Linked DNA regions of Cricetulus griseus. The protein of the gene in region 3 interacts with the protein of the main gene of each other region in a biochemical or structural test. Links are inferred from orthologs where the notes say so. Each region holds a gene or a part of one and is shown on either strand. Other genes may lie near its edges.

What was found. The genes of interacting proteins can lie anywhere in the genome.
Region 1: of the proteins of Lnx1 (region 3) and Abca1, one has a biochemical effect on the other in vitro, tested with the Homo sapiens proteins (2 studies listed by BioGRID and IntAct, with this or other methods). The link is inferred for Cricetulus griseus from reciprocal best matches to the Homo sapiens genes LNX1 and ABCA1.
Region 2: of the proteins of Lnx1 (region 3) and Pbk, one has a biochemical effect on the other in vitro, tested with the Homo sapiens proteins (2 studies listed by BioGRID and IntAct, with this or other methods). The link is inferred for Cricetulus griseus from reciprocal best matches to the Homo sapiens genes LNX1 and PBK.

The regions. Positions count from the first base shown.
Region 1 is NC_048595.1:90,696,118-90,706,727, reverse strand, and holds part of Abca1 (phospholipid-transporting ATPase ABCA1), read right to left. Parts: intron 7,196-10,610; coding exon 6,998-7,195; intron 6,331-6,997; coding exon 6,125-6,330; intron 5,572-6,124; coding exon 5,395-5,571; intron 4,997-5,394; coding exon 4,774-4,996; intron 3,401-4,773; coding exon 3,179-3,400; intron 2,242-3,178; coding exon 2,037-2,241; intron 955-2,036; coding exon 841-954; intron 1-840. UniProt on the Homo sapiens protein: Catalyzes the translocation of specific phospholipids from the cytoplasmic to the extracellular/lumenal leaflet of membrane coupled to the hydrolysis of ATP.
Region 2 is NW_023276807.1:220,800,737-220,811,346, reverse strand, and holds the end of Pbk (lymphokine-activated killer T-cell-originated protein kinase), read right to left. Parts: intron 9,654-10,610; 5' UTR 9,634-9,653; coding exon 9,576-9,633; intron 7,568-9,575; coding exon 7,474-7,567; intron 6,549-7,473; coding exon 6,406-6,548; intron 5,667-6,405; coding exon 5,497-5,666; intron 4,261-5,496; coding exon 4,131-4,260; intron 2,051-4,130; coding exon 1,874-2,050; intron 1,248-1,873; coding exon 1,048-1,247; 3' UTR 421-1,047; downstream 1-420. UniProt on the Homo sapiens protein: Phosphorylates MAP kinase p38. Seems to be active only in mitosis. May also play a role in the activation of lymphoid cells.
Region 3 is NW_023276807.1:141,128,094-141,138,703, forward strand, and holds part of Lnx1 (E3 ubiquitin-protein ligase LNX), read right to left. Parts: intron 8,435-10,610; coding exon 8,232-8,434; intron 5,020-8,231; coding exon 4,648-5,019; intron 1-4,647.

The sequences.
Region 1 (10,610 bases), on a different chromosome or scaffold from region 3:
CAAAAATTGCCTATTATCCAGTCCCATTTCCATAATAATCAGGAAATAATAAAATTGTAAGAATCGAGAAGAGTAAAGCAGAAGAGAGAGGCAGCCATGGCTGTTAATCTGTATCATCAGTGAGCTCTGGAGTGATGAGACAGTTCTGCATCTTGACGGACAAGCTAGAGCACACATCCACATACATGATAAAATTTCCCAGATATCACAAAATGGGTGTGGAATGAGGAGTCCAGTGGTCTGTGAACAGTACCAATACCAGTTTGAAACTATACTTCAATTTCAGGTTCATGAACAGGGAACACTGGGGGGACCCATGAAGAGGACAAAGGAACCTCTTCACATACTTGTCTGGAAACTTCTTGTGAGTCTGCTATTCTAAATCAAGCAGAGACCTTTGTGTGGTTGGGTGGTTGTTCAGGAAAGAGAGCAACTGACTGCTGAGAATCAACACAGGCAGCTCAGGGAAGGGAATGCTGAGACAGCGGTGGAAGGAAAGAAGAAATGGAAAGATTGAAAGTCAGGCTAACTACTTATTCCTCCTGGCTGCATAAACTAGCACATTGTCCAAGATGGGGGAGATAAGGGTATATTGATCATACTATTCTTTCCTACAAGTGGGGAAACAAAGAAACTGCTCCTCAGGAGCTCCTCAGGACTCCCATTAAGTCAGTGCACAGGAAAGCAATGGCATGGGTGTATTTTGGAAAGGGGGTATTGCATGGGTTTTCTGCCTCTAATGTGGCTTTAGAGTATTTTTTAATGTAAGAGGGATGCCCTTCCCTGGTAGGGACAGCAGCACCAAGTACAGGGGAGTGGGTGTCAGCAGTAAGTACTTACTTTCTGATACTCCCTTCTGGCTGGAACCAAGGTGGCTCTTCTCATCAATTTCCTCACCAAACCAGTAGGACTTGGTACAAGGAAAATACCAGGGCCTGGGAATTCCATACTGTCCTGAAAGCAAAGCACAGGCATGATCCAAGCTGATGCCATCTCAGCATTTCTGATGTCGTCTAGCCAGACCCTCTCTCTCTCTCCTTGACAAGATCTTTGGGGGAAGGAATACACTGGAACTAAGGTGGAGGCAGACCACTAACTTGTGCTCAAACCCAGTATGTAGATCATATATTCTGCATCTCTCCATGGCTTCCCAACAACTCCAGATGGCAACACCATCCTCACTTTAGAGATAAAGAAAGTGAAGGACACATAGCCTATTCAAGGTCACTTACCCAGTAAATATGGATTCAGAATTTGAATCTCAATCTATATGATGCAAATTGCATAATCAATGGAAGAAGTTCAGATACGGTTAAAAAAAAAAATAAAAATTACATATAGACTCCCTTGGAGCAAAGTCAGAGGGTGAACTTCACCTCCTAAAATTTGATCTTGCATGGAAATGTATCCCAAAGAGGTTTTCTGGTTTCCTGTTTCACTTGGCAAAGAAGGTTAAGGAAAGCATCAAAATTAATTGTTCCCACACACTAATTTGACTTAAACCATGGGCAAGTGCTGAGACCTAATACATTATATTATTCATAACTTGTAATTAAGAACTACAAGCCCTCCTAGGGCTTCCATCTCTGGGGACATAACTCCAGAACTCAGGCAGCACCGAGAGGAATCTACTAGACTCTAACCCAGTGTGGTCCAACTGGGGTCATCTCCAAGCACCAGCGCTTAACAGCCTTGTGACCTCAGGCAAGTCACTTACATTCTCAGGTCTCTCATTCGGGAACTGTTTGCAATAGCAAACACTCCAGGGCAATCTTCAAAATCAGAGGATGTAAAGTACTTTGCACAGTACCTGGCCACAGGACTCAAGCATGAGGGACATGGTGGTAGTAACAGGTGTGCTTTCAGCACAGGTGACTTTCCTAGTACTATTTGCTTTTCACAGGTTTAAAGCCCAAGCCACTTCCGAGGGAGCCCCCTCATCCTTTAGCAATTGCAACACAAAGAAAGGAAAGATCTACAGGCAGAAAGGGTCTTCTTGTATCAGTTAACCAAAGCAGTCTGGAAGCGTGGGGTACCTGGAAAGACAGCTTCGATGTACCACGTCATCACTCCATAGAGGAAGGTGTCAAACAGCATCATGGACACTGCAGTGGTGAGATTAAAGCCATCTTCCTCCACCGGGCTCTCAAAGAGATTGTCCCATTGTACCCCGATGCCTTGCTCCTCAAAAAGGGCAAAGTATTCACAGCCAAATCCAAAAGCCACAGGAGACAGAAGGCTCTGAGAGAAAAAGGCAAAAGTATTAGGATAATGCCACTGTCTCTCTCATTTTTCTCTTCTAATGTAATTTCCACCTTGAGAAAGATGAATTTGCAAATTACATCAATTATAAGGCATGTAAGTATTCTCCTAGAGTCCCTTTGGAGACAGGACTCCCTTACAGCATATAAAATGATTTCATTTATAAGCACTCATTATGCACACACATTTCAGAAATGCATGCATGAGAGCAGGTGAGACTTTTAGAACTGTATGCTTCCCAAGATATTCCAAGGCTCAGCAATCCTGTCCCCCATTCAGCCTCCTATAGTGACATCAAAGACTTTTTCCCTGATCAGTCATTGAGTATTCAGGATCAGAAGAGCTACTTTAAGGTTTGACATCCATGAGACTCAGCCTGAGGGACCTGCAGCATGCTGAGAGCCTACTAATATTAGTGACCCATGGCGCAGCTAGTGAGTGGCTTTTACTGATATTCTCACATGCTCAAAGACCACACCTACACACGAGAGGAAAAAATGTCCTGATCAGGGATCTGTGGGAGGGAAAGTCATGTTCAGACTTATTCAGTTCAGAAAATATTACCTAAGTCAAATACCAAAATGGATACAAGAAAGACGAGTCATAAATGAACCACTTGTGGCCGCAAGCTATCCATGGTCATGACTTTACTGTGATCTTATTATGGCCAAAGAGCTAGAAGACAAGGGGTAGATGTGGTATCTACTGCTACACTAAATACATTCCCCAATGTCATTTATATCCAACATGTTCAAGGTACAATCTGATCTCTGACAAAAATCAAATCCAACTAGTGCTCACTGTAAGGGCGAAGGAGGAACAATTGAGTAAGAGAGGAGTTCAGAGTGAATGCCAAATCCCCAGGGGTCGGGGTCAGGAAGGACTACAACTCTGGAGAAAGACTAGCGTTACTCACAGCAAAGATCTTGATGGAGAAGCCCACGTAGTCCTGCCAGGCTACACACAGGACATATGGCAGGTACAATGTGAAGTAGATGATGCCCCCACAGGCTGCTGCCAGGTTGGCCCGGGAGAAGAGCGTGCTAATGAGGAAGCACTGTAGGATGGTCACCACGGCAAACACAGACAGGAAGACGAACACTACGCTGGGATCACTATAGGGCAGCAGGTTTCCTAACTGGAGAAGAAGAGACTGGATAAATGTGTGACCTTGGCAAGCCCAGTCACTCGCTCATGTAATCTCAATGCTAGTTTCCACTCATAATTCTTTCAGAGATAATGTAGGGGAACCACACTGTTCAGTTTTCTGATGCAGAAATCAAACCCAGGAGAAATACCTTACTTGAGACTACACATTTAAAAAAAAGCCACAGCAGAATTATGGTAAGTGCGAAGTTCAGGACCTTCTACTTGATCTCAGTGGACAATATTGCTCTCTGTTTCTCACAGAGATAATGATACCTGGCTTCTCCTCATTCAAGGACAACCACTGCCCCTAAGAAAAAGTTGTGTGGGACAACAGCCCACTTATCCTCTCTCTCCACCAACCTAGAAACAGGCCAGGCAACCTTAACCTTACCCTGGTAGCTACAAAGTCTTCATGTATGCATAAATGCTTGTGAATTTTCCCACAGGACCCCTACCCTTGTACAAGGCTTAGGTCCTTGCCCTTGGATACCAGAGTATAAATAAACAGGTTGCAAATAAATCTTGGTCTGTCATCCTGGCACGATTTAGAGAGGCTCTGGCCTGCCCTGGGAACTCCATGGGTTACTATAAGGTTACTCAGCGAGTGCTCAGGAGTAATATATATAGCTAGCATTAAGATGAATATTACATTGTCTTGCTTTGTGCTCTCTCTCTCTCTCTCTCTCTCTCTCTCTCTCTCTCTCTCTCTCTCTCTCTCTCTCTCTCTCTCTCTCTCCCTTTCCTCCCCCGCTGGAAAACACTAACTTTTATAAGAGGCAGCTTTGTATGAAATAACGATGAGTTAAGAAAGCTGAAGAGTAGATTCATGTATGAGACAAAAATTTCACTGCCCAGACTCCACTTTAAGGGAGGGCTTGCCTGTCTGCAGATAAAAGACATCCAGATGTTAGCGTCTCTGTTGTCATAGCTAGGAGAGCTTCCAGGCCCTAGAACACCCCTTTCCCTGGTGAGCCCCATCCAATGACTGACTAAATGGGAGAGAGGATGTCAGGCCTTAGGGATAAGAATTTGGGCTTCTTCTCAGTTCAATGTGGGAAACTCCTGGACAAGCTATAAATTCTCCAGAGCACCCCACTGGGTTGTTGAGACATGGTTCAATTCCTCTCTCTGCATGAGCCAGCATATGTTCCATCCCTCCAGATACTGATCCCTACTAATATCCATATAGCAAAGTCTGCCTCAGCCTCTTCCTCCAGACATCCAAACTGTAGTATAACCTTCTGACTATTGCTTTTACCAACTTGAAAATAATCCCCACCCAACACTCCTAAGGATTGACCCTGAAGTACAGTGTGGTGCAGGTAAATGTGTGCTTTTCTGGAAGGAGAGAGGCCCCTTTACCTTCAAGATGATGACCAGCAGGCCAGCACTCACAAGCAGAGGGATGAGGCTGCTGATGAACCAGCTAAACCAGAGAATACCATTGTCCAGGCCCATGATCCGCATGGTCTCCTTCAGCCGAGCCTCCTTTTCATATACAATGCCCTTGATGATCACAGCAACAGAGTAAATCCAGGCCAGGGTCATGAAGAGGGGCATGGACCGGCTCATCACCCGAAGGAAACTGGAGACACAGATGAAAAGCATGGAAAAAAGCTCTTGCATATTAGAGGGAAAACTACATTTGGGTCACCAAGGGAAGGCCCACTGGACTCTCAAATGACCAAATGTTTCATTAGCAGTAGACAGAGATGAGAACCTTGGCTGACAGAGTGCAGCCATCCAAAATTTCTTTAGGGGATCACTTTAATAACTAGGAAATAGTGGGGATAATATTAAAATAAAGGTAAATTACTTTACTAAGTACTAAACACTAAAGGAGGGGACAGAGTCCAAGGGTCAGGGTCTCTAATCACCTCCTATTGACGTGCATTCACTCCCACACTGTGCAGAAACATGCATGTACTCCACATGGAGCTGCTTGTTTAATAAAAAAACAGGCTGGCTTGTTGGTACACTCACATGTCATCAACGTAACAGGGGTAGGGCATCTGTTGCACATAGACACCCGTTTTCTTCTCAGTTCCCGTCAGCACTCTGATGATCGCTTGCTCTACCACATCCTGCAAGTAGGCGAAGCCCCCCCAGACATATCGCATATCCTCAAATGGGTCAGCCCGGGGACCAGGGTCCCAGTACCTAAAAGCAAACAATAGACATACTGGAAAATCCAATTACCCACATTTCCCACACACTTCCTTGGCTACTATTCCTATTTTTTAATCTATTCCTATTTCAATTGATAAATACATAGATTCTTGAATAGAAATAATCACAATGAACACACTCCTTATGGTATATTTTTTCTTTTCTCCTTAGGTATAACGTTACATCAGATAGACATACTAAAATTTCAACTACCCACTCCCTTTTATCGCTTGTCTGCTTCTTTTTATAAAAATGTGTCTGGCTAGCACAGAGACCCCCTAAAGGCTTTTCTTTCTTTCTCCTGACTTTTAAGTCCTTTCAGTTAATCTTTTGAACAGGAATGCTGAAACGGAAAGACTAATATTTTATGGCCTTTGATTAACAGTCCCCAGCAATGCAGTTTTAGCCAAGTCATGCTGCTGCTACTGATTTGTTGTTGAAATTCCTTCCAAACTGCTAACAGAGAACCAACAGTCATAAAAGCCATCTAAATTATCTTCTTGACCTTTGCAACACTGGGCTTGTGTGATGGGATTCTACTTACCCATCCTTGATCTTATTGGTCCTCTCGACATTGTCAATGTCCATTCGGATCTTGTACTTCACGTGATGGGGCAGCTCCACACTGTCAGGAGTGAGCCCTGTGAACACAATCCCAGCCCAGAACTTCCTCTCATCCAGCAGCTCCATGGACTTGTTGATGAGTCGGACTTCTGTTGGAATGGGCTCCAGCTTGTTCAGGTTGACACACTGACATAAAAGACAGCCTCATTAGAACACTGATGGCCAGAAAGACAGCTGGTAGACACCACTCAGTCTCCACTGAGAGGTGGGAACTGGTTGCCCGAATTTATCACTCTTCAGCACCTAGCCCTCTCAAAAGTAGTTTTCTGGGTTTCAACCAAGCTTAGAAATGAGATTTATGTGAAATACTGAACATTACTTGTATTGTTTCTGTGAGGGGAAATGATCATATTTTATGCTCTTCCATTTTCTTACCAATGTTGAGTCACAGCAACTAACCACTTAAAATCAGATAAGGAAAAATTCTATCAGCCCTTTTCCTTTCCATCATTTTTAGGGTTAGTTTTACAGTTCCAAATTAGATTAGATAAGTTTCATAAACAATGCCTTTATAAGAGAGCAATTTATTACCATTAGAATCTAGAATACCAAAACATGGGAACACCGAGAAGATAATGGATAGAAACACTGGAGTCTATTTGAAGTAACGCTGGAAGTAAGCTTATTTACTTATGAAGCAGTTCATCTAGGGTTTATCTTGTCCGCCGGGCCTGCAGGATATAGCTGTACATGATACCGCACATTCATTCTAAGCTCTCCTTCTGCCTTTAAATTTACTGCAACATTTCAAAGGACAAAGCCCTTTGAAAGGATGTGCACAGCAGAACCTCACCTCCATGAAGCGAGATATCGTCTGGATTGCCTGGTTGGTTTCATTGAAAGCTTCTCTCCATGTATACACGGAGCCATTTGGAGACTGAACATCCTCTGGGTTCTTGGCCAGAAATGCCATGATGTCTTGAGCAGTCCAATCTAATCCATCCAACTTCTGTTCCCAAAATCGATCATTGCCTCTGCTGTCCAACAGTGTCTGTCATTCCAGGAAGAACGTGTAAATAGGAAACATCAAGTTCATGATAATGAGCACTACAAGGACACACCACACTTCTTTTTATAGGCTCAGGCTCCGTTTGTGTGGGACACATTAATAAGGCTTCTATTGACAAAGAAGAAGACTGAAGTTGAAAACCCATGACTAATATTGGCCAAGATGAATTGATGGGCTGAGACACAAAATCAGACTTCTGAACTCACAGTCCATAGGTTTCCCACTGTACCAGACAGTGGTTAACTGTTTTAACTCTAACAACAGTAATATAGTGTGCTCAGGGATCTACAGGCATCATAACTCACACAACTCCATGACGGTGTAGCTTTGATACTGCCCATTTCACACACAGGAATAATCTAGCTGATGAATGGGAAAGCCAGGTTTGAAAACATAGGCTCGCTGATTCTAGTGTACCACTGCATCGAATCTCCCCTCTCTTTTGAGACATGGTCTGATGATGCCAAATAAAAACCTCATCTCTAGGCTGAGCCCATGTTTAAGGCTTAATTTACGGAAGAAATATTGCTGGTTAATCCAAGTAAAAGACGGTCTTTCCGAACCCCAGAACAAATGGGTCATGATGAAAAGGAGGACTGTTTCCCATCACCTGTCAATGTCAAAAAGGTCACAGGTAAGCCATTCTGGTCCTCAACCAGCCAGTCCAGGGAAACTGGGGCAGCAGCCTGCACAGATGCCCTTCCAGGAAAATTGGGCAACTGCTGACTGAGCAAAATGGAAACATCTGTCATGCTCATTTACCAGTTTCCAGGGGAAGCAAGAGGCCCTTGCTCTACCGAGCTGGATCTCCGAAAGCCCAAGAACACCATCCTTAATCAGTCTTCTTTTCACTAACCTTGCAAGCTCTTCCCCTGGGTGGCTTCTTTGTTGTTTTAATGGGAACGTAATGATTTTACAGACTTTACCTACTAAAATTTCATTAACTATTCCTGTACTACATAGCATTTAGTCTACCTCCAATTTCCCATAATAACAATTACAGTAATAACATTTTCTCTCGCATGATGACTTCTTTTAAAATTATTGCCATAGGATGCATCTCTGGGGGGAGGGGTGGAACAAAGGTATATAGCACATGACTCATTCTTTGTGGATTTTGAAACTTCCACTTCAAATTGCTTTCCACGAGTGAGTAACAATGCACACTGTCACCAGTGAGGTACCAGTATAATTTTTTGGTTAACAGATACAAAATTGCACCTCACAGAAGTCCAGAGGCATGAGTTATCAATTCCGAAATGACTTTATTTGGATACGTGGACATGAATGAACAAATAAGAGCAGAGAGATGGGATGGTGGCATTTGGGGTGAGCCCTCCCCAGTGTGGCTGCTAAACAGTATAGGGCATCCAGACCAAGAGGACATCAATACCAAATGAGGTCACTGACCCTATGGCATCTCCAGGGAGCCTGAAAGGAACAGAAGACCTGACATTTCACACAAAGTACTAGACTAGGGCCTGGAGATGAGGGGCCATGTCCAGTTCAGAACAATTTTAAAAAAAATCTCAGGTTAGGTCAGTAGATGCTTAGACTCAAGAGGAAAGTGTCTAGGATCTGCAGGATGTACAACACAAAAAGACAGAGCCAGAAGCAGGGACATGGGAGCCTAAGGCAGAAAAGTAGGAGCTCCAGGCATCACCTTGTATAACAGTCACAATGCTGAGGACTGAGAAACCCAAGGTGGTGGATTAAAGTAGTATTCCTTAGGTCAGGGAAGAATGCACTGGAATAAAGCCCCTCTGATTTCCACTGACAAGGTGTCAATTCCCAACTTATATCCCCAGCTCAACCACCCTATGTATTGCAGACACCAATAGCCTCCTGTTGGCATGCTCTCCGACTATCCAGATAGAAGTCAAGACTCCTGGTACCCTCCTCTTGCTGCCTTTCTACCATAAGCCATTACCAGACCTCCTCTTTTACACTCAGCCCTGGCTGTTCCCTCATACACTCTCTGCCTTGCATCCGTTTGTCTCCTACAGTAATGCATCTACACCTCCACTTCCTTAAAGCCACCTGATGCCGCCTGTAAAAGATCCTCAGCTTGACACAGAGGCTCTCCAAGGTCTGTCATGCCTTTCCCTCCAGTCTCTGCTACTTTACTTCCTATTCCACACCCAGGATTCTCTGAAATAAATCCCTAGTGAACACTACCACAGGTTTATAAGGACTCATCCCTTGAGAAATGAGAGTTCATGAGCAGCTGCAGTCTCAAAAGAAACTCTTGATTTAAAATCAGGAAAGGCCAGGCACAGTGGTTCATGCCTGCAATTCCAGCACTGAGAGAAGCTGAAACAGGAGGAGTGCCTTGAGTTTGAGGTGATCCTGAGCTACATAGTGAGTTGCAGGCAAGTCTGAGCTATACTGTGAGACCTTGTTTGGCTTGGGGAGGATGGGGGGTTGTTTTGTTTTATTTGAGTAGGGGAATATCTATGTATGCCCAAATTCAGTTAAAATTCTTCAAGTCCCTTCACTCTCAGACAGAGAACAATCTCAAATGGTAGAAGTATGGATCCCAAGGAAAAGACCAGGGAAACAAGGCCTGGGGCATATGCTGAAGTGTACAGTGTTTCCTGTGGGAGGACCACATTAATCCCTTAGAAGAGAAAGACTGGAGCTGAAGGGAGAACCACGCACCAAGAGTGTGAATGTGTAGTAGTACCGTGACTCAGCATGAATGTGTAGACTGTTGCTCTTGATTTCCTCACCCAAGTCCCCGTGTGTAGAAAGAAGCAGCAAGTTAAGAATTCTGCATGGGTGTAACAGCACTCATTTATCAAAGAAGACTGGCTTCTCCAGCTCCTGCAGCTCCTTGGTCAGTAACCTGTCCCCACAGGGGACTCAGAGCACTCCTAAACTTTGAGAGAGCTCCCTCAAGATGGGTAGTCTCTAAAGCCCGGCATCCCTCAGGTCACAAAGGTTCAAGACGAGAAGCCTGGCAAAAATCCTCCCTTGCTTCTTGATAGCAGAAAAAAATAAAAGGAAATGGCCTTGCTCACCATGGCAATAGGAGGCTGACTAATGATTCCCCGCTCAAGCCGAGGCAGGGATGATGTGATTAAATGGCTCTCATGATGACACAAAGGGGACACTGCATTCTCACACTGCTCTCCTTTGGGCACTGATCATCTCTGGGGCCCTTGTCTCTCTCAAGTGGCTCTGGCATGTTTCATGCAATTCCCTCCACTCCATGGCAGCAATGCTGCACTCAACCTGTGCCTAGGGACCTAGTACCTCTGTCCTATCTGCATGCCAGATCATGTGTCTGTTCCCATGTCTCCTTCTAAGACCTACTGAGGCACCAGCAGACTACAGAAGATGCTGTGCCCACCTTAGTGACTAGAAACAAAATGAAACTACTCAGTGTCCTGCA
Region 2 (10,610 bases), about 80 Mb from region 3:
TGAATCTTTGGGAGACAGAGGCAGGCAGATCTCTGAGTTCGAGGCTAGCCTGGTCTTCAGAGAGTTCCAGGACAGTCTCCAAACCTACAGAGAAACCCTGTCTGGGGGTGGGGGAGATACTGAATCTGTGCACATTTACACAATTTTTCGATAAGTAAACTTTGACTTTGCTGTCACTTTCCTGCTGTTTTGATGGACAATATACCAATTAATGATCTGTTGCTGCATTACCTAAATTCTGTCTGTAGTCAAGTCTGGGTACACCACCTGGTTTCACCAATTGAATTCTGGTAATTCCAAGGAGCTATGACTCAAACAACTGATCCAATTTAACCTCACTTCATACATAAGAAAACAAGGTTTTGAGAAAAAGCACATTCATTCCATAAGTCAGATGGCAACACAAACAAGAATAGAATATTGAGGTACCAAAACTATCCTTTATTACATCACAACTTTAAAAGTAAAAACAATACATTAGCATGAAAATATATTCAATAAGTTAGACACTAAGATGTGAAGAGATGTAAAGTAGCTGCAGCCAGGGTCTGAAAACCTTAGGAACTACTCTCCCCTGCTCTAAAGATACAGGGATATTTAATAAGCACATGGGCCAACAGATCAGCTAAAGCTGGACATTTGATGAGCAGATGTAGATAAACTCTGCACAGTATAAAGTGAAATTTTAACAACTCACTAAAGAGAATATCTAAAAATATCTTTAGTAAAGCAATGATCCCCTGATTCTAAGTCATCTCAGGGTGACTAGTGTTTTAAATCAGTAGGAGCAGCATCTAGGTACTCTGGAGAGTTAGGTTTTTTTGTTTGTTTTTTGTTTTTTTTTTTTTAACTTCACAGACTATCCAGTACAATAAATGCTTATAAGAAATAACATGTCAGAAAATTATGCAAATATTAACTATATGGTGATCCTAAAATTAGCCACTTCCAGAGTTTAGACACTCTGCAGGTCATAGTAACTAAGTGTGTCTGAGTTAACAGTTCACATACAAGCTATGCTTCCTGCTTAGACCGCCACAAAAAGCATCATTGGACATCTAGTTCCAAAGCTTCAACGATGTGTGCAGCAGAAGGACGATCTTTAGGATCCTCATTAGTACACACGGAGAAAAGTTCAATGACCTTCTGGTATGATTCATCAAGTTCTTCCATGTTGATGGATGGTCTGGTCCCCAGAGCTGCATAGTATGCTTCATCATCAAAGTCACTCTCATCAAAGGTTGCATCTGCACACGAGGGAGTTAGAGATGGAAACAAAATCATGTAGGTCATAGGATAGCTCAACAGCTTACCCTCCTGCAACAAGACCGGGTTATCCAGTGTTTCCCTATACCACAGGCAGTCTGTTCAACGTTCCTGCCGCAGAGATTAGACATTTTCTCTCCAGCAAAAAGGAAACTTTTCAGCTAGATACCCTACTCAGCAAATGTAGATATATTAAAGAAAAATGAGGTATGTCATTTTGGGGGTTGGGGAGATGGCTCAAAGGTTAAGAGCATTGGCTACTCTTCCAGAGGTCCTGAGTTCAATTCCCAGCAACCATATAATGGCTCACAACCATCTGTAATGAAATCTGGTGCCCTCTTCTGACCTGAAGGAATACATGCAGACAAAGCTGTATACATAAGAAAAAAAAATGAGAATCCATGAGTGGAGGGGTTACAAGGGAGGAATACCCTTATGTATCTATTCTCAATAGGTATCTCATTTGTATGAGATTAAATCTAGCCAAATTAATCACAGTATTACTATAATCTTAATTTGCTTTTTGAATTTTAATGGGAGGACAGTTTTATGCACTAATTACCAGAAAGAAACTCCGATTTATGTTAAAACCTATTTGTATTTATACCTTCATCATCATCATCCTCTGGAAGATTGATGTGTGGAATACATAAAGTCATCATTTCCCACAGAGTAAGACCAAAAGCAAACATATCTGCCTTGTCAGTAATAATGCCATTTTCATCCAAGGCTTCCTTGGGTTTCCAGGGCTCCGTGCCAATATAACAGGCCTCAGGATCAGTCACTGAAACACACACACAAATACAAAAATAGTCATAAGAACAGGTGTTAAGGATTATGGAGAAAGGCAAGCAACCAACAAAACAACACAAGCAAAACTCCTTTATACAGGGAGTTCAGAAATTAATCACTATTCAACCTCACTATAATGGATCTGTCCCTTATAAGACTAGAAAGTATTAAAATCTCATCAGTTGGTGGGAATATAAGAAAACAACAGTTCCCTCAGAAGGTAACAGAAATTTAGGGTATAGATAGATATCAAAATTCCACTCAAGCTAGACTATCTTGCTTATAAAGGCATTCAAGCTGGGTGACACAGCAGACTACTTTATGTTTAGGTCTTGGATTTTCTGTAAGCACAGAGGTTGAACACCAAATGGCATTTCAGGACTTCCATGATTGCTACATCAGGAAACCCAGAGAAATAGTCACACACTGGCCTTTAAAGTATTGCATGCCACTCACAGTCCCTTAGTCTAAAATTTTGTCAGCTTCAATTGAAAAAGCAAAAAACAACAGCAAAAATTAATTAGGAAAGGATAGGCTAGTAGATCAGTCTTCGAAGAATTAACATCTCAATATTATCAAACAGTATGAAACACACAGACCTTTCTTTCACTGTCTGGTTCCATCTTAGTGATATTTTATGGTTTCCAGACTTAGAGGATTTTTTTTCTTCTTAGATTTTTAAATATCTTGGGGTTTTAGCAGTTATAAATGGAATTTTTAACTTTTCATTTTCTTATTATTTACTAGTATCAATTTTCTTTTAAAATCAACCATATGAGATTCTTTCTAAGAATGTTTTACTAGCTATTTTTGGATTTCCTAGTTCTTATATCTATTTTGATAATTGCATTTTTCAAGGAAGCTGTCATTTTATATAAGCTGTTGTATTTGGTGGAATACAGCTGTCTGTAATAGTCCTTATACATGTGTAGAATGTACAGCTATGACCCTCTTCATGCCTGATATTAGTGGTTTTGTTCTTTCTTTTCTCAGTCTTGGTGAGAATTTTTATTTTTCTGTATAACCAGTTTGGGCTTTATTAACATTTCCCAGTGACATCTGTTCCTATTTTATTCCTTTCATGGACTTTGCTCTTTCCTGGCTGACAAGGAAGTGCAGCCAACAGTAGTACCTTTTGTCTTTTAAATAATCACTAATAGCTACAAGTTTCCCTGGGAAACTAGTGACTTTACATGTTGTATCATTTTATGTATCAATTCAAAACAGTCTCCAAAACTGTGGCCCAATGATACCCCAATAGGTATGTAAATTTGTATTGCTAACCCCCCAAAACTCAAGGTTCTCCCAGATATTTTGTTAGTAATCTCTAATTTAATTCCTTTGTCCAGTAAGGAATTCTGTGACATCTTCCTTAAGGCAAAATTTCCTTTACATATTTAAAAATGTTTTCTCTAATTAGAATAAATCAAATTCACTGGACAGTGTTAAAGTACATTACACTAAAAATATAATCTTTCAATATTTTATTACTATAACCTCCATTTTACACAAATAAGGATAGAATTGAAAACAAAATGCTTAGCACTCCTAAACAATAGGGGGAAAAAACAAGCAGTTTGTTTAATTAAAGAAGCTTATCTTTGAAATTCTACTTTGAGGCTCTCAATAAATTTACAAATAGAGAAAGAAACATTTGAAGAGGAAAGAAAAGATGTACTAGTCAATCCTGATTAGCATGATTGGATTACAATGCCCAGAAGCTGGGGGAAGCTCTACTCTGGTGGGTGTGTCTTTCCCAAAGTTATTCAGGTAAAATCCATGCTGGTGAGGACCAGTGTGGTCACAGACTAAAGACTGTGAGAGGATTGAGCCTGAGGCCATCCTAACCTGACCAACTTCAAACAAATCAAACTAAGACAAAAAATACACAGATACACTACCAAGAAGTCAATAACTGGAGCGGGGAGCTCAGAGGAAGCGAAAACACCTGAAAGATGCTCTGTATTATACACTTTTCATGAAGTTCATTTAAAATATGTAGGTTTACTATGTTTTACAATGCAAAAATTAAGAGTTCAAAAATTGTATGAATTTAAAACAATGCTACTTACCAGTCATATTTTCATCCAATGGCAGAGAGACTCCTACATCACAGATTTTAATTGTTTCAAAATCACCTTTAATTACAACATTTGAAGACTTTATGTCTCCATGAAGCAGCTTCTTTTCTTGATGCAGATACTAAGAATTGTAAAAACATTCAAATACATGAGCAGAAAAAAAAACTGCTAAAAATTCTTTCAATAAAACAATGACTTGAGCTAGGCAGTGGGGGCATATGCTTTGGGAGGCAAAGGCAGAAGGATCTCTGAGTTCAAGGCCAGCCTGGTCTAAAGAGAGTTCCAGGACAGCCAGGGCTACACAGAGGAACCCTGTCTCAAAAAAACAAAAAACCAACAAAGACTTGAATTTCCTTTGTAAACTGGACTTATTTATCTATTTCAAAGTATTTGAGGCTAGGAAGGGAACATGCCATGTCATTTAAAAGTTTTCTTTACGATGTCTGAATTTTCAAAGCTGACTTCAAAACACTCCAATTTCACTTGAGGCCAATAGTTTTAAATTTTGAAATCTTCACAAACTTATCTCAAATTGTGATGTAATGCAGGTGACTTGGGTCCACTATAATTCATAAGCAGAAACAGAGATGTATTCTATATTATGTTTTTACCATTAACTGCTTTGGAGTTGTCCATAATTATAGTCACATTTTGAACAATGCTGCAATGGCTGTTCATTTGTCAGCACTTGAGCACTATACTATACTATACTATACTATACTATACTATACTATACTATACGCGCAGCTTAGAAAGGAGAAGCCACTCTTGCTGTGATCTGCCCTTCCACAGGAGCCTCCTATGCATACTTAAATGCAGCCCATCATATGGTGAATAGGCCCCAACACGGTTACATTATTAATTTCATTATACATACATACTTAAAGCCATCAGTCAGTAAAAAACTCAGATGTTTCTATCCTTTTTATTTTTGTTAAGATAGTGTTTCTCTATGTAGTCCTGGCTGCCCTAGAACTTACTCTGTAGACCACCCTGGCCTTGAATTCAGAGATCTGTCACGCTGGAATTAAAGGTGTGTACCATCATGCCTGGCTCTATCCTATTTAAAGGTATCTATAAATGTAGTAAATTGTTTTTACAATGCTTTTTTTTTCTCAATCTGCTCCATAAACCAATTTCATATGAGACCTTAACATGTAACCCTGACATCACTATCATGACACTGCGAGTCATCAGTAGTTTTCTAGAGTCACTATTACTAGTGTTTAATTAATATATTCATTTCTTTTCTTCCGTCATGTTGTATCTATCAAAAAAAAAAAAAAACACAGCAACACAGATATAACCCATGTTTAATTTCTTCATAGTTCACCAAAACTATTTAAAATATATTTACCTTTAGCCCTCTTGCCATGTGCAGAGCAACTTTGAGAATTACAGCTGCTGGAAAAGGACTTCCACTGTCTTTGTTTCGCTCTTCTATTAAGTCATTCAGAGACTTTTCACCTCCATACTCCATAGCAAGGCACAGACTGCCATCACTGGCTTCAGTAAAGGCACGGTACCCTTAAGAAAATGTGACAGTTTTCTATGAGACTCTGGAAACCAGGGCTTATTTGGTAATATATCTTGGACCTGGTCTAACACAATAAAATACAAAATTAACCCACAGCTAGAATTTAAATGCCTTCAATGTGTCTAGCACCACAGATCAAAATAGTTTTACTATGCTTTCGTAAATAGAATGATTCCACCAGACGAATTAGTACCAAAAATGAAAAGTGAAGACAAGAACCCATCTAAATGAACATAAATGATCTAAATGAAGATCAGTTTAAGTCCTGAAATCTTTATCTGCACAAAACGATTACACCTCAACTCCATGAAGGTTGGATACAAGCACTTAAAGATCTAAGATATATGGATCTTAAGATATATGATCCATATATATATGGATCATATATATATATATATATATATATAATATATATGCGCATCACATGTGTGCCTGGTGCCAGTGGAAGTCAAGACACTGGATACCCCATGGATGGTTGTGAGCCACCATGTGGGTGCCAAGAACTGAACCTGAGTCCTTCACAAGTGCAACAAGTTCTTTTATCTATTGGTCCATCTCTCCGGCCCCTTACGTGAATTTTTACTTCAGACAATTCACATTAACTTCCAATAACATCCAGACCAACTTTATTTTTATTAGCAAAACCATTTCAGAATGTATCTATATTGTTTCTAATGCCACAGAACATTGCACTGCCACATAACTGCCACCAAGTCAACCTGTACTTACCTATGATGTTTGGATGATTAAGGTTTTTTAAAATCTTAGCCTCATCAGTCAGTCTTTTCTGATATACAGTTCGGTAGTGATCATTACATAAAGGATTGATCTTTTTCACTGCCCAAGGAGAATGAGACAACCCACGTGGGGATCTAAAGTATAAACACATAAATTTAAATGTAAAAAAGGAATAAAAAACAACACCATCCTCAAATTGACCCCATAGAAATATGTATTTAAAAATACATAAAATTCTTTAGATCATCAACACCTGTTACATTTCTGTTTGGACTAAGTCAGTGTCTTGATATCTAAGCCCCGAGAAGGGATTAAAGGAGAAAGATAAAGATGAAATGTTACAAATTTATAAAAGTACAATTAAATTTGAAAGTGGCTACACTATTTTCTAACATTTCTATTCTGGCATGTCAGTCACTATTTTATCAAACATTTTACCTTTATGTATCAGAGATGAGTTATATAATAAATACTAAAGAAATTTAACTTAAAGAGATGCTCCAAAACAGTCTATATAATGGTATCCTCTCTCTTATTATTTGAAATTTCATACATATATGTTCTGATCAAATGTACTTTCCATGTCCCCCCAACTTCAATCCTCATGTGTTCTTTATTCGTTAAGCCTAGAGTCCACTTAGTGCATGGGTACAGGAGCATCTCCTGGAGTGTGGGTAGCCTCTTAGGGGCTGCATCCCTGAAGAGAACCGACTCTCTTCCCTATAGCCATTAACTGCCAGTAGTTCCCCATCCCTGACACGCCCTTTCACCAACAGCTATTTCAACTCCACACCAACATTTCTTCTACACTTGTTCACCACACTCAAAGCCATGTTCTCGCATCTTTCTACCACTTCACCTTCTTAAAGAAGCCAGAAGGGAAAAGGGTTAAGCTATTCCCTTTTATTAATCCACCAGTAAGAATTTAGGAGTACAGTACTTGGGGCAGAACTCTAGCAGTTATCAAGATTCTGAGAACTGGAATGTAGCCTTCAGGTGTGATGAGGAACTTACCCAATTCAGGCACAAGGACCCACAAGTTGGAAATCTTGCACTCACCTTTTCATTAGGTAAACATTGACCCCAGTCCCAAAGCCAAGCTTCTGCATAAATGGAGAGGCAGGGATAGTTACACATGGAGTCGAACATAATACTAAAAATCAAAAACAAAAGCAAGAACTTAGCACTTGAAAATGGTAGTACAAAAGAATCTTGACAGTCTTTAAACACTGTGGTAAGATTAGTAATGGCATTTTTTTTTTTTAAACAGAGTATATGAGTACCCTTTGACTAAGACAACTTCTGTAACTCTCACAGTAACCCTAATGTAAATGGCCTGTTTTTTATGGCATACAAGCTAAGAATTTAAAAAAATCTATTTAGCTATTATTGTGTGTATGTATACATGGTGTATGTATGTAGATGTGAATGCCATGGCACACATGTGGAGGTCAGAGGACAGCTTTTGAACTTGTTTTTGGACAGATTATACTCAGGTCAACACTCAACATCAGTGAGATGTTGAGCCATCTCACTGGTCTTTGTTTGCTTTTCAAGACATGGTTTCTCTGTGTAGCTATGGCTATCCTGGAACTCTCTCTGTACAACAGGCTGGCCTTGAACTCACAGAGATCTACCTCTTGAGTGCTGGGATTAAAGGTGTGTGCTTTTTTTTTTTTTTTACATTCTTTAAGGGCTATTTAAAAACAAAGAATATAGAGGCTGCTGAGATGGCTCGGTGGTCTAGAGCACAAGCTGCTCATACAGACAGCTGTTCTCTCTGTGAACTAAAAAACCTGACAAAATACAATAGCTTTCAGATGCATGATAAGAGGCAGAGCAGAGCTGTGACCTCTGAGCAAGGATGAACCCATGAAGCAAATCCTATCATCTCCCCATGGCCCTGAAAGGGAAAGGCAGTCCAGGCAGGCTCAAGCAGAGGAAACAGCCCAACAGTATGTCAAACCACAGAGACAGAGCAGAGGTCAAGGAGGACTAGGTAGCTGGAAGCTGTGGAGCAGAACACAGGAGGGAGCTAAAAGAAAATGGGCAATAGAAAAGATTTCCCATAGAGTGTGCTTGGCTAGTACTTAACTGCACACATAATGGGAAGTATTCCCCCAAGCCAGGAAAGCAATGGAAGTCTAGGAGTAGGATCACTTTACCATCATCAGCCATACCAGGCGGCACTGTAGCAGACTGTTAAGTAAAGCCCTCTAAAGGGTAACAACTCAGTACTACCACTAACTTTTGGCCCAAGCAAAGTCTGTAAGAAAGCTTAAAGGCCAGTATCAAAAGGAACAGGCTTACCATCATTCAGCCAAATAAGCTTTGGAGCTTCATGAGACCAAACGCCCTATAGAGTGACAAAATCCAGCACTCGACATAAAACATCTACCACCTAATCAAAAATTACCAGGATAGTGTGGGCACACTGAAGGATAAGTAGATGTTCTTAAAGGTCCTATACTCTCAGGTCTCAGAGGCAAGAGAGGGGCTGGAGCCTGAGAACTACATCTGAACAGCTACATCTAATATGCATTGGGAACAACACAGATATGTCCACTAGCAAGCATGAGGAGCCAGTTAATAAGGTAATTTTTAGAAAAAGTTATAGATATTGGAGTGGAAAAATTGTTCAAATATTAATCTACACATGACTAACTACTTAAGATATCCTACACAAGTCAGGCAGTGGTTTAATCCCAGCACCCCAGAAGCAGAGGCAGGCAGATCTTTGAGTTCAAGGCCAGTCTGCTCTACAGAGTGAGTTCCAGGACAGCCACAGTTACACAGAGAAACCCTGTCTCAAACAAGATATCTTAAATAATCTTCAAGACACATCTATGATAAAAGTGCTTGCTATGCAAGCCTGATGCTCAACTCCTGGAGGAACTCTAGGAATTTCCTCCTAAAAGGAGTGAACTGACTCTTGTTAATGTCTGCTTCAAGTCAGAAGACCATCACCAGGAAGAACCTAAAGTCCAGAATGACCATGTCAGTCGACAGAAAGTCTGGCCCACCCTATTAGAAGCTCCATTATGGCTAGCATGCTTATAATAACCAATGTTAGACTGTTCACAGACAACAACAATGAGCAAACACTGAAACATTTCTGGTAGATATAGCAACAAGAAAAGATCTGTCTTCTGCAATCTTACCAGATTTCCTTTTTTCAGATAATTTGTTTGGTGTCTTGAAATTATTGATTCCTTCCATTGTAGCAATCACTTTAGGTCCTATAATGAAAACAAGCTAAGTTACACTGCAGCTGTAAAGAATAACACTCATTTTCGAGGAGAATCCCATAACATCATTTTATCATAGAAATACACGATTTGAGAACCGAAAATGACCTCAGCAAATACTTTGTCCAATTTTATTTACAATGGTAAAATTGAGACCCAGAGAATCACTATCAGTGATTAGGGGTTGCAGTTTTAATTATAAAAGATATACTTAGAAGCCAGAGACATAGCTCAGAAGGTAAAAGCACTTGTAACAGTGGTACTGTTAGTCTGGCATGCACATGGCCATGAGTTCAATCCCCACTGTCAAAACATAAAGGTAAATAGTACATTTTCCCCTCTCATACTTCCCAGGAGAAGTTACAAACAGGTCTCATTTTCCTTTAAGGCAAGCCTGTAATAACAGCACTTGGAGGCTAAGACCAACCTGGACAACAGTGAAACTCTACTTCAAACAAAACAAAAATGGAAAACTGCATACAAGCAGCAATACTTCTAACAGTCCAAACAGACAAGAGAAGAAACCCTTAGATGCTGAATGTGGAGTACAGTGTGGGATCTGCATACCAAGTAACAAAGTATGTATGTATGTATGTACAAGTGAACCAGGAAAATATGCTAAGTAAACTAAACCAGATATAGAAACACACACATATGACTCCAATGATGGAGCACGTCTAAAGCTGTCCAGAATGTCCAGAAAATGCCATGATTTCCTGATGGCTTAGCTGTGGCTAGGAAGAAAAAAGTTAAAATAAGGCAGGGGGGTTCTAAATTGAACAAATGAAAAAAAAAAAAAGAGGGCATGAGAGATTGGCAGCTCATTTTTTGATGCTTTGTTAGATCTTGGAGGTAAGGTCAAACAGGAAGTCAAACATAGATCTGGAACAAAGCTGAAGACATCATTTTGTGGACTTACCAATGGGAATGGGGTTAACACTGAGATTC
Region 3 (10,610 bases):
AAGGCTGTTGGCAGAGCTTCAGCTCTGAGCTGGGATTGTGTCCTGTCCGTCTTGGACAGTGAGCAGTGCATGTTCTGAGCAACTCCTTAGAAAAAAAGTGAATGTTGCAGAGTTATACATGGCTCAATCCAACAGGCAAAATCCAAATTGCCAAGAAGCAACCTGCACAAGCTATTTATTCACATTTGTGAGCACACATTTCTCATTGGGCTTTCAAATGCCAGCTTGAGAATGGAGCCTTGGCAGGACCAACACTCCAATAAATAACACTGGTATCAATTTACTTGCAAATAAATCCTCTGCAAGGCTGGCTCTGGGGCTCTTACCAGCCACCTCATGAATTGTTCACAGGGAGGCTATTTGGTGCACTTTCTTTCACAGCGTTGGAGATATGAGGTAAGCTAATGTGTTGGTCTTGGCACTAACTCCTGAGCAGCTGGAATCAGGCTTGAGAAGGTCCCTGGTGGAGAGCCTCACTGTCCCTGGGGAGGAGTTGGGGGATGGTTTGGGGGGTTTGTGGGGAACATGGGAGGATGGGAGGGTGAGGGAATGGAGGGGATGGATATGTAAATATGAGTGGTGATTAAAGAATTTAAATAAAAAACCCAAAAAACAGAGAGAGAGAGAGAGAGAGAGAGAGAGAGAGAGAGAGAGAGAGAGAGAGAGACAGAGAGAGAGAAAGGGTCCTGGGCACTACAGTCTTGATTTCCACTGGTGTGACAGTAACACATGAAAGGGGAGACAAGGTACAGGCACAGGAAGGATGAAGGCAAGAATGCTTCCTAGCTTCATACCCACACATATGCAGGAGATGTGCTCATCAGAAATGGGAATTGGTGACTAAGAGGACCAGTGCTATCTATAGGCAGAACAAAAGTTGATAGAAAACCTGTATTTGACAGTGCAAGCTTCCCACCAGCCAAGGGTTTCCCCTATTTGTAAGGAAAATAAGGCATTTGCACACATATATATATCCCACACACATATACACACACACATATATACACACTCATATATATCCCCCAAATATAGAATATTATATATGTTTAATTTATGTAATAATATATCACATATTATATATAATATATATATATTAAATGCTTAAATAATTTGTTTTTTGAGACAAAGTCTCACTATGTAGCCCTGACTGGCCTGAAATTTGCCATGTAGACCAAGCTGGTCTCTGTGTGAATGCTGTGCACCAGGTGAGCAATGGCTCACATGGGTTTACCTGCTGTGTTTCTTGCACTGACTCTATAGACTTCAAGAAGTCTCCATCTTCTCTGGCATGCTGCACAGTGTTATTCTGTGCAAACACATGGAATGGAGGCGGGGGCAAATTGACTGCTGGATATCACCAATGTGCTCTGTGGGGTGGGTAGACTCTGGGCACAGTCTAGGTCCACAGGAGAAGCATATTTGCAAGGGCAGTGCCTTGACACAGGCAGATGAGGGCTGGAATAGGACCTACAGAATCAGCTGTTGGGACAGCTACCTTCTACTTTAGTCTTCATTCACTCATAAGGGGTTTTCTTGATCATCTCTTCCTCCACCTTAAGATAGAGTCTTTTAGGAATAAGAAAATGAGTGGTGATGGAAATACTGCTGATGAGTTATGCAGGATCATATAGATGTCAAAGACAAAGTCAAAATAAAAATGTGGTTCCTGGGTCCCTGAATCTGTTGATTGCTGTGTCAGCATTCCTCTGTCTCAGCCCCACTTCTCTTCAGGGACTTGGAGGTTGCTACTCCCAGGATTATTTCTCTTCCATTAAGGAACAAGCCTGTGGGGGATATTGTGTTGGAGAAAGGCAGTGGGGTTTCCAGGCCCTTTAACACAACTGCACAGAAGATTCATTCTCATAAAGTTTAACTTGAAGGGCTGTATTGATTTCCAAGTATCACTTTCTCAAGAAAATAGGAAATTTAGAGTCCTATTTGGTAATCTCTTAGGCTTTGAGATTTGAGCATAAGGAGATTTAAGTTTAGTCTACATGCACTAAATTTACTCCAGGACCCTGGTAAGACAATTTATGTGAACAGGGGTTGGATTCCACATGAGCTGTGCTGATCTGCACACACACAGATCTAGCAGGTCTTATTTCACTGGCAATTCTTATTGGCTCCCAGGGACTTGAATGTTTAAATTACCACAAAAGTTCTGCCTTTTTCTTTCCAGGTACAAAGCACAACTCATGAGCTGGAATCCTGTCTTTAGAGTAAACGTGGGTAACATGAGCCTGGCACTGTTTACTTTTTGGCTCTGTCTGAAGCCCTATCACATTCTTTTTAAAAGTTTGAACAGGCTGATTTTCAGTTCTTTGGTGAAATAACTGTATTTTTAAATATTATTTCATACAAGGAACAAAAATCACACATATGGCAGTGTTACTGTATGCCCCTACTTTTCCCAACCTCTATAAATTGATTTGATTTTTTTTTCAGTTTCTGGGGTTAGCAAGGAAAATAGATAGGGGGAGATGGGGAGAAGGAGAGAAAGAGAGAGTGGGGAGGGAGGGAAAGGAAGGGAAGGAGGGAGGGAGGGGTGAGGGAGGAAAGGAGGGGAGAGAGAACTCATGGATGGCTACTCAATTTAAAAATTCATAATTGCTTTCTTTGTTGACTGTATATACTTGAACTCCTAAACAAACATAACTCACTAATCTGAGTTGCATATGGATGGGAATTCCTCAAAACAAGCATTTCTCTTAGAATTCCTAGATTCTTGTGGTGATAACGGTAATATGCTGACCCTCTGGGATACAGATGTGGAGACATCTTTTTTTCTCTTTGATCTGTTATCTCTTTGTTCTGTTATCTCAAGTATGACATCAGATAGTTCCAAAAAGTTTGTTTTCCGTATACTTATTCTAGTAAGTATGATTAAAAAATCTGGAGGGATTAACAATGGTGGAAACCAGCATGGTCCTTGTTAAGATGCTAAGAAGCCCATTGTTCCATGTAGGAGGTGTCTTTCTCTTGAAGACTTTTCTTCTTAACGGACCTTGACTCTCTACACTGGGGACTTGTCTACCCAGGCTGCTGCTGAATATGATCAGGTTAGGGGTTCAACATAAGTAAAGTTGGTCCAATTTAAAACAGTTGTGGCCTCTGCAATAACTCTTTCCTGAAGTAATGTAGGAAGAAAAAAAAGTGTAGTTTGATGGGAGAGAACATGGCCAAGAGGACATGCTGTCTGGGAATTTCTTTGTGAGGCAAATGTGATTCATGGGGGTGGACACACATGGGCAGCATAGCCAACGGCCGGGGCCGGGTGGCAATTTGAGTCTCAGTCTTTGAAGGGTACTTAGTTTAATCCCTTCAGCCTGGTGTGGGTTACAAATATTGCAAAAATAAAATGTACTCTTCAGAGACAGCAAGCCATTACTTAGCTTTTTTTAACAGCATTTATTTTTTTACGTTTCTTTTCCAGCGAGCTTTGTCCTAGACTTTCTGAAAAAGTAAGTTTTCTTTCTGCTTATAAAGCAGATTGGCTTTGTTTAGTAAGCAAAGGGATTTTTTTAAAGGAATTCCCACTATTAGGCAAGATTCTACTTCATACATTGACTTTCTCAGGGAAAAACATGTTCTTCTGTTATTAATCTTCAAGAGTAAAATGCCATGTGTAATCAAGTTTTTTCCCAATAACATAAAAGTTTTTCTTTTGCCGATTGTGAAAGTACAGTTGGCAAAGAGCTTCAGAGTGGGAGTTGCACTAGGTGGCCTGCAGAGGGGGCTAACAAGCATAACATGAAAAGAATATTGACAATTGCTTAGGGTCTAGGTTTTAAAGATGAAAAAAAAAAATTAAGCTAAGATAGTGTCTTCCTGAAGAAAAAAAAGGGACTTCTCTTTCATGTGTGACTGTTTCATCTTTTTTTTTCTAGTCTAACTCTGCCTTATTGATTGTACAAAATCAAGGACAGGAAGTTTTCAAGCTCTGAGAAGCAAGTGACCATGGCTACCTTGTTAACACTGTACTGGGCACTGCTTGGTACATAAGGGCTGCTCAACCAATGATAACTGACCAAAGTCAAAGGGATAAAAAGTAGAGGTTACCTCATAGGGTCAAAGAGCATGTAAAAACAAATGTCAATCTGGTTCTGTGGTAAATGGTTTGACAAAAATAATCCTTCAGAGAAGGAATTGACTAAAATGTAATATATATATATATATATATATGTTTATAATATGACTAATTTATTAGTTAAGTATTTACATATAATAAACACTTATTCATCAAGTGCTTAACCTTGCTAGGCATTGTTCCAGGTACTTTTATAATATAATATGCTTCTACACTTTTCTAGATAGGCAGGTAACCATAAAATAGGAGCAAAGCAGAACTGGAAGACAAAGGTAGGGGAGGGAGGGAAGGAGAAGGAGGGAGGGAGGGAGAGAGAGAGAGAGAGAGAGAGAGAGAGAGAGAGAGAGAGAGAGCACACATACACTGTAAGACTATCAGCAAAGGTCATGACCCGAGGTACACCATTTGTGTCATTTGGGCTCTTGGACAGTAGCATTGAAACTGCCAGCCCTTCCTTGACTTCCCCAGAGGGAGGCTCCAGTGGCACACATGATAAGGGGCCAAATGTTCCTGCTTCTGCGGGTTTTTTGACTGGGATCTTAGGGTGACTTCTGACCCACCTGAATCAGATGAGCTGCACTTTCTGGACTGCCAAATCGAAGGTCATGTCCATTGATGGCCAGCACACGATCATTCTCCTCTAGCTGGCCATGTCGGTCAGCGACACCCCCATTCAGCACATTGAAGATGAACACCCCAGGTTCGTCCACCCTGCGCACCAGCTTTATGCCAAGCTGCTCCTCAGGGCTGCTTTTGTTGAGAATGACATGGAAGCTGTCATCCCGAGGTCCATAGGACTCCAGTGCCTGTCCATTGCTTCTGCTACGGAACTTCTGCTCACGCAGCACTGTGAGCTTCAGCACTTGGCAGGGCTGTCGAAGGAGCCGCAGGGCGTAGTTATGAGGGACGTTGCTGATGTCCATTCCATTGACCTGGGGGTGGGGCCATTCGACAGTGAGTGTACCTACCATTAGCCTTCTGAGAAGGTCCAGGCCAGCATGGGTTTGATCCTCAGCATCACAAGAATCAAATGAATACAAGTCCAAGTCCACAGAGTAACCAGGATATTGTCCCCTAGCCTGCTTCTCTATCTCCTTTTATTCTGTATTCAAAAAGTCTAATTTTCCACAGTAATTTTCCCTCCTCTAGGGCGCAGCACTGCCTTCCTTCACCCATGTACTTGCACAGGCCCATATGACAGTGTAGAATCCTCCTGTTAATTTCTGTTACCTGCCAATTTTAGTTTTTTAGTTGATACTGAAGAAAGAAAAAAGTTGAAAGACAAAGGCATTTTCTTATTCTATTCAAATGACTGTGTGTGTGTGTGTGTTTTGTTGTTGTTTTTTGAGACAAGTTTTCTCTGTGTAGTCCTGCTGTCCTGGAACTCAATTTTGTAGATCTGACTGGCCTTGAACTCACAGAGCTCCAGCTACCTCTGCCTCCCTAGTGCTGGGATTAAAGGCCTGTACTACCACTGCCTGGCTCAAATGACTATACTCTTAAAATGAGGTGCACGCAGAGCACAGGCCTGGCCACTGATCTGCACCCCAATATTAGATGATGATATCCAACACTATTTAGACCAAAACAAGTTGATTGTTTTTTTGAACAAAATTTTTCTTACTGAGTTACCCATACTTTCACCTCCAATTACTCTGTGGTGTGTGTGTGAGGGGGTGGGGGTGGGAAGAGAGAGGGAGAGAGAATATGTGCTTAAATATGTGTTTGTATGTAGAGTATTTGTGTGAATGCCCCTGAACATGTGTCAGTGTTTCATGTTATAGTATATGTGAGCATGCCTGTGCACATGTGAGTGTATTTGCATGCCAAAACATCTGTGTGAGTGTGCCTGACAAAATGTGGATGTCTTTGTATGTTATTATATTGGTGTGAATGTGCCTGAGTGTGTGTGGAGTGTGTTTTCACATTATATTATCTGGGTGAATGTACCTGAGTGTGTATTTGCCTGATATGGTATCAGTGAATGTGCCTGTGTGTGTGTGTGTGTGTGTGTGTGTGTGTGTGTGTTTTATGATATGGTATCTGTGAGTGGGCCTAGGTGAATGTGAGTTGTATGATATGGTACCTGTGAGTATGTCTGGGCGCGCGCGCGTGTGTGTGTGTGTGTGTGTGTGTGTGTGTGTGTGTGTGTGTGTGTGTGTGTATGATATATAGTATCTATGAGTGGGCCTGGGTCTGTGTGAGTGTGTTGTATAATATGGTATCTGTAAGTGGGCCTGAGTGTGTGAAGGGGCTGTTGTATGATACAGTATCTGTGAGTGGGCCTGAATGTTCATCTGCAGGTGTGAGTGTAACAGTGTGTATAGGAGTGTCAGGTACTGAGACGGATGTCTGCAAGGTCTTCTGCTAATACTCTAACTATAACGGACTGTGGGGCTTGAATCATTTCAAATAAGCTAATGCACAAGAACGTTTCTAGGCTATTTACTGAAAGGCAGAACACTATAGCCCTCCTTAACTATACCGAACCTGGGCCTCTCAGTGGGGCCTCACTAACCATCCACAGGGCTGCTGCTGCATCTGACTTTCTGGCTTTAATTATCCTGGCTCCACAGGCCCAGCCTGGAGGCTACAGCCCTCAGTGTTTGTCACCACTCTGGAAGAAAACAGTTCCCAGCAGCTCTGTACTCTGCTTAGATTTGGGAGTTTGCTAAGAAGATTGCTGTACTTGAAGCCAACTGTTAGAGGCACATTGGAAAAATGAGCTTTGAAAGGACCTTGTTTGAGGTCAACCACTGCCTCTTGCTGAAACTCAGAGATGGACTGGGCTCCTTTAGTGAAGACAAGGTACCCCCTTGTCCAAACACAAGGGAACACTACCAGGAAGGTGACAGAGCCTATGATCAAGGGAAGTTATGGTCATCTGATATAGGTCCCTGGCATTTCTTTATCTTCAAGTTGCCTCCAACTAAGGACCAAAGAATAGAATTTTCTTATGCAGCCCTCCCAGACACAGTAGTATCCATTGGGAGAGGGAGAAAGCCCTGCTGTGATTGGGGTCCCAGTATTTGTGGCCCACTTGAGTGATGGGCCCTGCCTGGTGGACATCCCAGAGACAATGTCAACATTTCTGCAGTAACCCTTTCAATTATTTCTCCTCTTATCCCAATTAGTTTGCCAAACAAACAGCCCACGCTGAGACAGGAGTCCTCCCTCTGCTTCCTGCAAAGGGTGGGATGGAACTGTTATCTGAATATCAGATAAGAAGTAGATGAGCTGGGAAGGCATGCTAGTCCCTTTTGGCTCACATTTGGCATCTGTCTGATAAGCAACAGCTCTCCCCACTTTCTTTTTGTCCTGAAAATTCTTCTCTGAAGTCTCCCTTTCAACCATGCCTAGGAGGACAGTGTGCCCAAGTCAGGTCATTCCACCCCTGAGTCCCTGGGAATGCCTCTAGGTCATGAGACCAGATTAGAGATGGCTGTTGAGCCACAGGAGTGTTTCTGTAGAAGGGGGTCTGGACACAATTAGATCAAACACAACAGTTGCCATCAATGTGCTTATTTTATACTAATGTTTATTTTAAAAGGAGAGGCTATAGGAGGAGCAAGAAGAGAAAGAACGTGTAAAGTGGAGAAAGAAAAGGGTGTAGATGAAAACAGTAGATGGGGAGAGAGAAGACAGAAAATGATACAGTAACAACTGTAAACAAACAGTAACTGTTTATAAATGGGCGGAGGAGGAGAAAGACCCTTCCAAATTATATTAGAATTCTTCATATGAGATTTATCTCAGTATAACTGTGGAAAGTGTCTGTCTTTATTTCACTATATCCACTCCATTTGCCATCTACCTATTCTCTTATCCCCCATTTGTCATCTACTTATCCACCCTCCTACCCATCCATTTACCCAACCACACGTTCATCCATCTGCCTATGCACCCTTCCATCTAATTATCCATCCATTTACCTATCTGCCCATCTAATATTAGCTCTGAAGGATCTCCCTATTCCTCCACACATCCACTTATCCACCCATCTTTCTGCACAACCCATCTATCTATCCCTCCATCTATCCATCCAACCATTATCTACTTTTAAAGATTTAGAGTAAGTGCCTTTCATAGCCTACAGCTCATGATCTTGTAAGCGTATAGTTACACGATCATGCCTTTTGGGCACCTTGAGAATGATGTCGCCTGGCAGCAGCCGTCCATCTCTGGCAATCACTCCATCACGATAAATATGCTGGATGATGATGTGGACCAGTGGGGTTTCACTGCCTCCAACAAGCCTAATGGAGAGGCTTTCATTGGGATCCACTCTATTGATTTTGATGCTTGTAATTTCACCATCTGGAATCAGGTGGTACAACCTTGGGAAGACTGAAATGAACAAAAACAGAATTTGTTTCAGACCTTCTTGCCAAACTAAACTGTTCATTGTTCTTTGTGCGTGTTTCCCACTTTCCTGCCTTGGTGCCAGCATATATTTCTCTGCTGGAATGTTTTTCATCCTGGGCTGAAACCCAATTTTTCCTACAAGGCATGCATGAAATAATCCCTTCCAACTAAACTTTACCCCAATCCTTCTTTTCCTTGTTGTCTCTACACACATGATTCCTGTAAGGCTGATGCTACGTCTCATAGCATTCAACCTTCCATCATTGCTACCTATACTGACCTCTCATATCACCAAGTGGACTCTAGAATCTAGCAACTGGCTTCACTATCGGGCTATACGTAGCTGCCTTAACCTGGCTGTCCCAATATTGATGGTACTTGGTTGACTGCTTCGATTAATGTTTAAACTGCTTTGATTACACAGCCAAGGCAGTAATTTCTGGCTGCCCCATGCTTCTCTGCACATATCTTTCCGTACATGAGAGCCTTCAGCTGACGCTTACTGATAGAATAGAACAAACTAATGAACAGATGTCTTTAGGGAATGAACTGTGATTATACTGCTTTCTTATCAAAAAACAAAACCAGAATCTGTTCTTCTGTCCTCTTAGATTATTTTGGAAGATCTCAGACACTCCGCTTTTCAGGCTCCAGGAATCATCAGCCCTCTAGCAGATACTGCTGCCAATACCAGGTATTCAAAAGACCTAGTTCACTGTCAGGAAGAGGCCATGATCTCAGTCTTATGGCACCTTTTGGAGCATTGTTCCTCATCCACCTGGATCACTTAACTCAGTGCTAGAGAGAGAAATCAAAGATTATGTGAGTGAGCTGGTGTTTCCTAACTTTAGTATTTGACCCAACCCTGGCTGTGCCAAAGAATAGCTTCGTGGGTCACTATGCAGCTCCACAGTCCTTTATTCGTGTGTGTGTGTGTGTGTGTGTGTGTGTGTGTGTGTGTGTGTGTGTGTGTGTGTGTGTGTGTGGAAAAGCACAGAGAGGAAGCTGTAAAGTAAGGTGACCATTTCAGGAACACCAGGCTTCTGATGGTAGTTACACTCATAGCCTCATTAGTTTCCCAGGAGCTAGATGTTCACAGCCACGTCAAAATCCACAGGGACAGGCCCTTGGGACCAAGAAGCCAGAAGCACTGGTTGACACTGGTTTCCACTGAGGGGACACCAACTTCTGAGAATGTGTCACACCTAGGCTAGCTGTTAAGTGGCTCCTTTGTGTAGCTTGAAGTTCAGTTAGGATGCAGATGCAGGGACAGTCAGTGCCCAGTAGCTGCTGACAGCTGCCTTCGTTCTAAGAGTCTCCTTTAGTTTTGTTACCTGGAAAGATATACTATGAGCCTGGTTCTGTATAAGCCACTCTTCGGGACTATTTTCAAAACCCATAGCTATGGTTCATTTGTTTAAATGAACTCAACTCTTTATGAAAATTATACAGGAAAAAAAACCTACTTGCAATTACTATACAGCATAATTAACCAGGTAATGCAGTGGCTAGCGGAAGCCTGTGACATTGTGAATGTGGGTCTTAAATTCTAGGTTTAATTTAATGTCAGCAAATGGCTTCTGCAAGGCTGTGAGTAGCTGTCTCAATCTGTCAGTTCCTAGTGCTAACAGCATGTGGGTGACTGGGCTCAATTAATGTTTAAACTGCTCAGTTTGTATTAAGTAGCCTTTACGCATATGTCAGAAGATGTCTGGTATCAAGGGAATGGAAACTTTCTGAAAAATGATTTTAAGCAAAGAAAGTCTTGGAAATAATCACCAAAGCTCCCAATTCTCCCTTTCCCCTTCCTCCTTTACAACAGACATAAACATTGTTCTCCTTAATTTAAACAACTGGAGGATATCTGAGTTGATTAGAAAGGACATGCCCAACTCCACGCTCTTAAATGATGATTCTTAGAGCCAGACCAATGAGATCCTCATGACTTCAAGGGGTTAAAACGATTCTTTAAACTGTCAGATTATCTTAGTGGAGACACAAAAGAATTTGGTCAAAATTCTTTGTCTGAAGACTACATGATTTAAAAACATTCTTTTCTGGACATTGAACTAAAAAATTGAAATGCACATTTTCAGGCCTCCTACCAACCCTGTGATGGTGGCTTCTCGTCTCTGTTTCCAGGTGAAGAGTTAGGTTG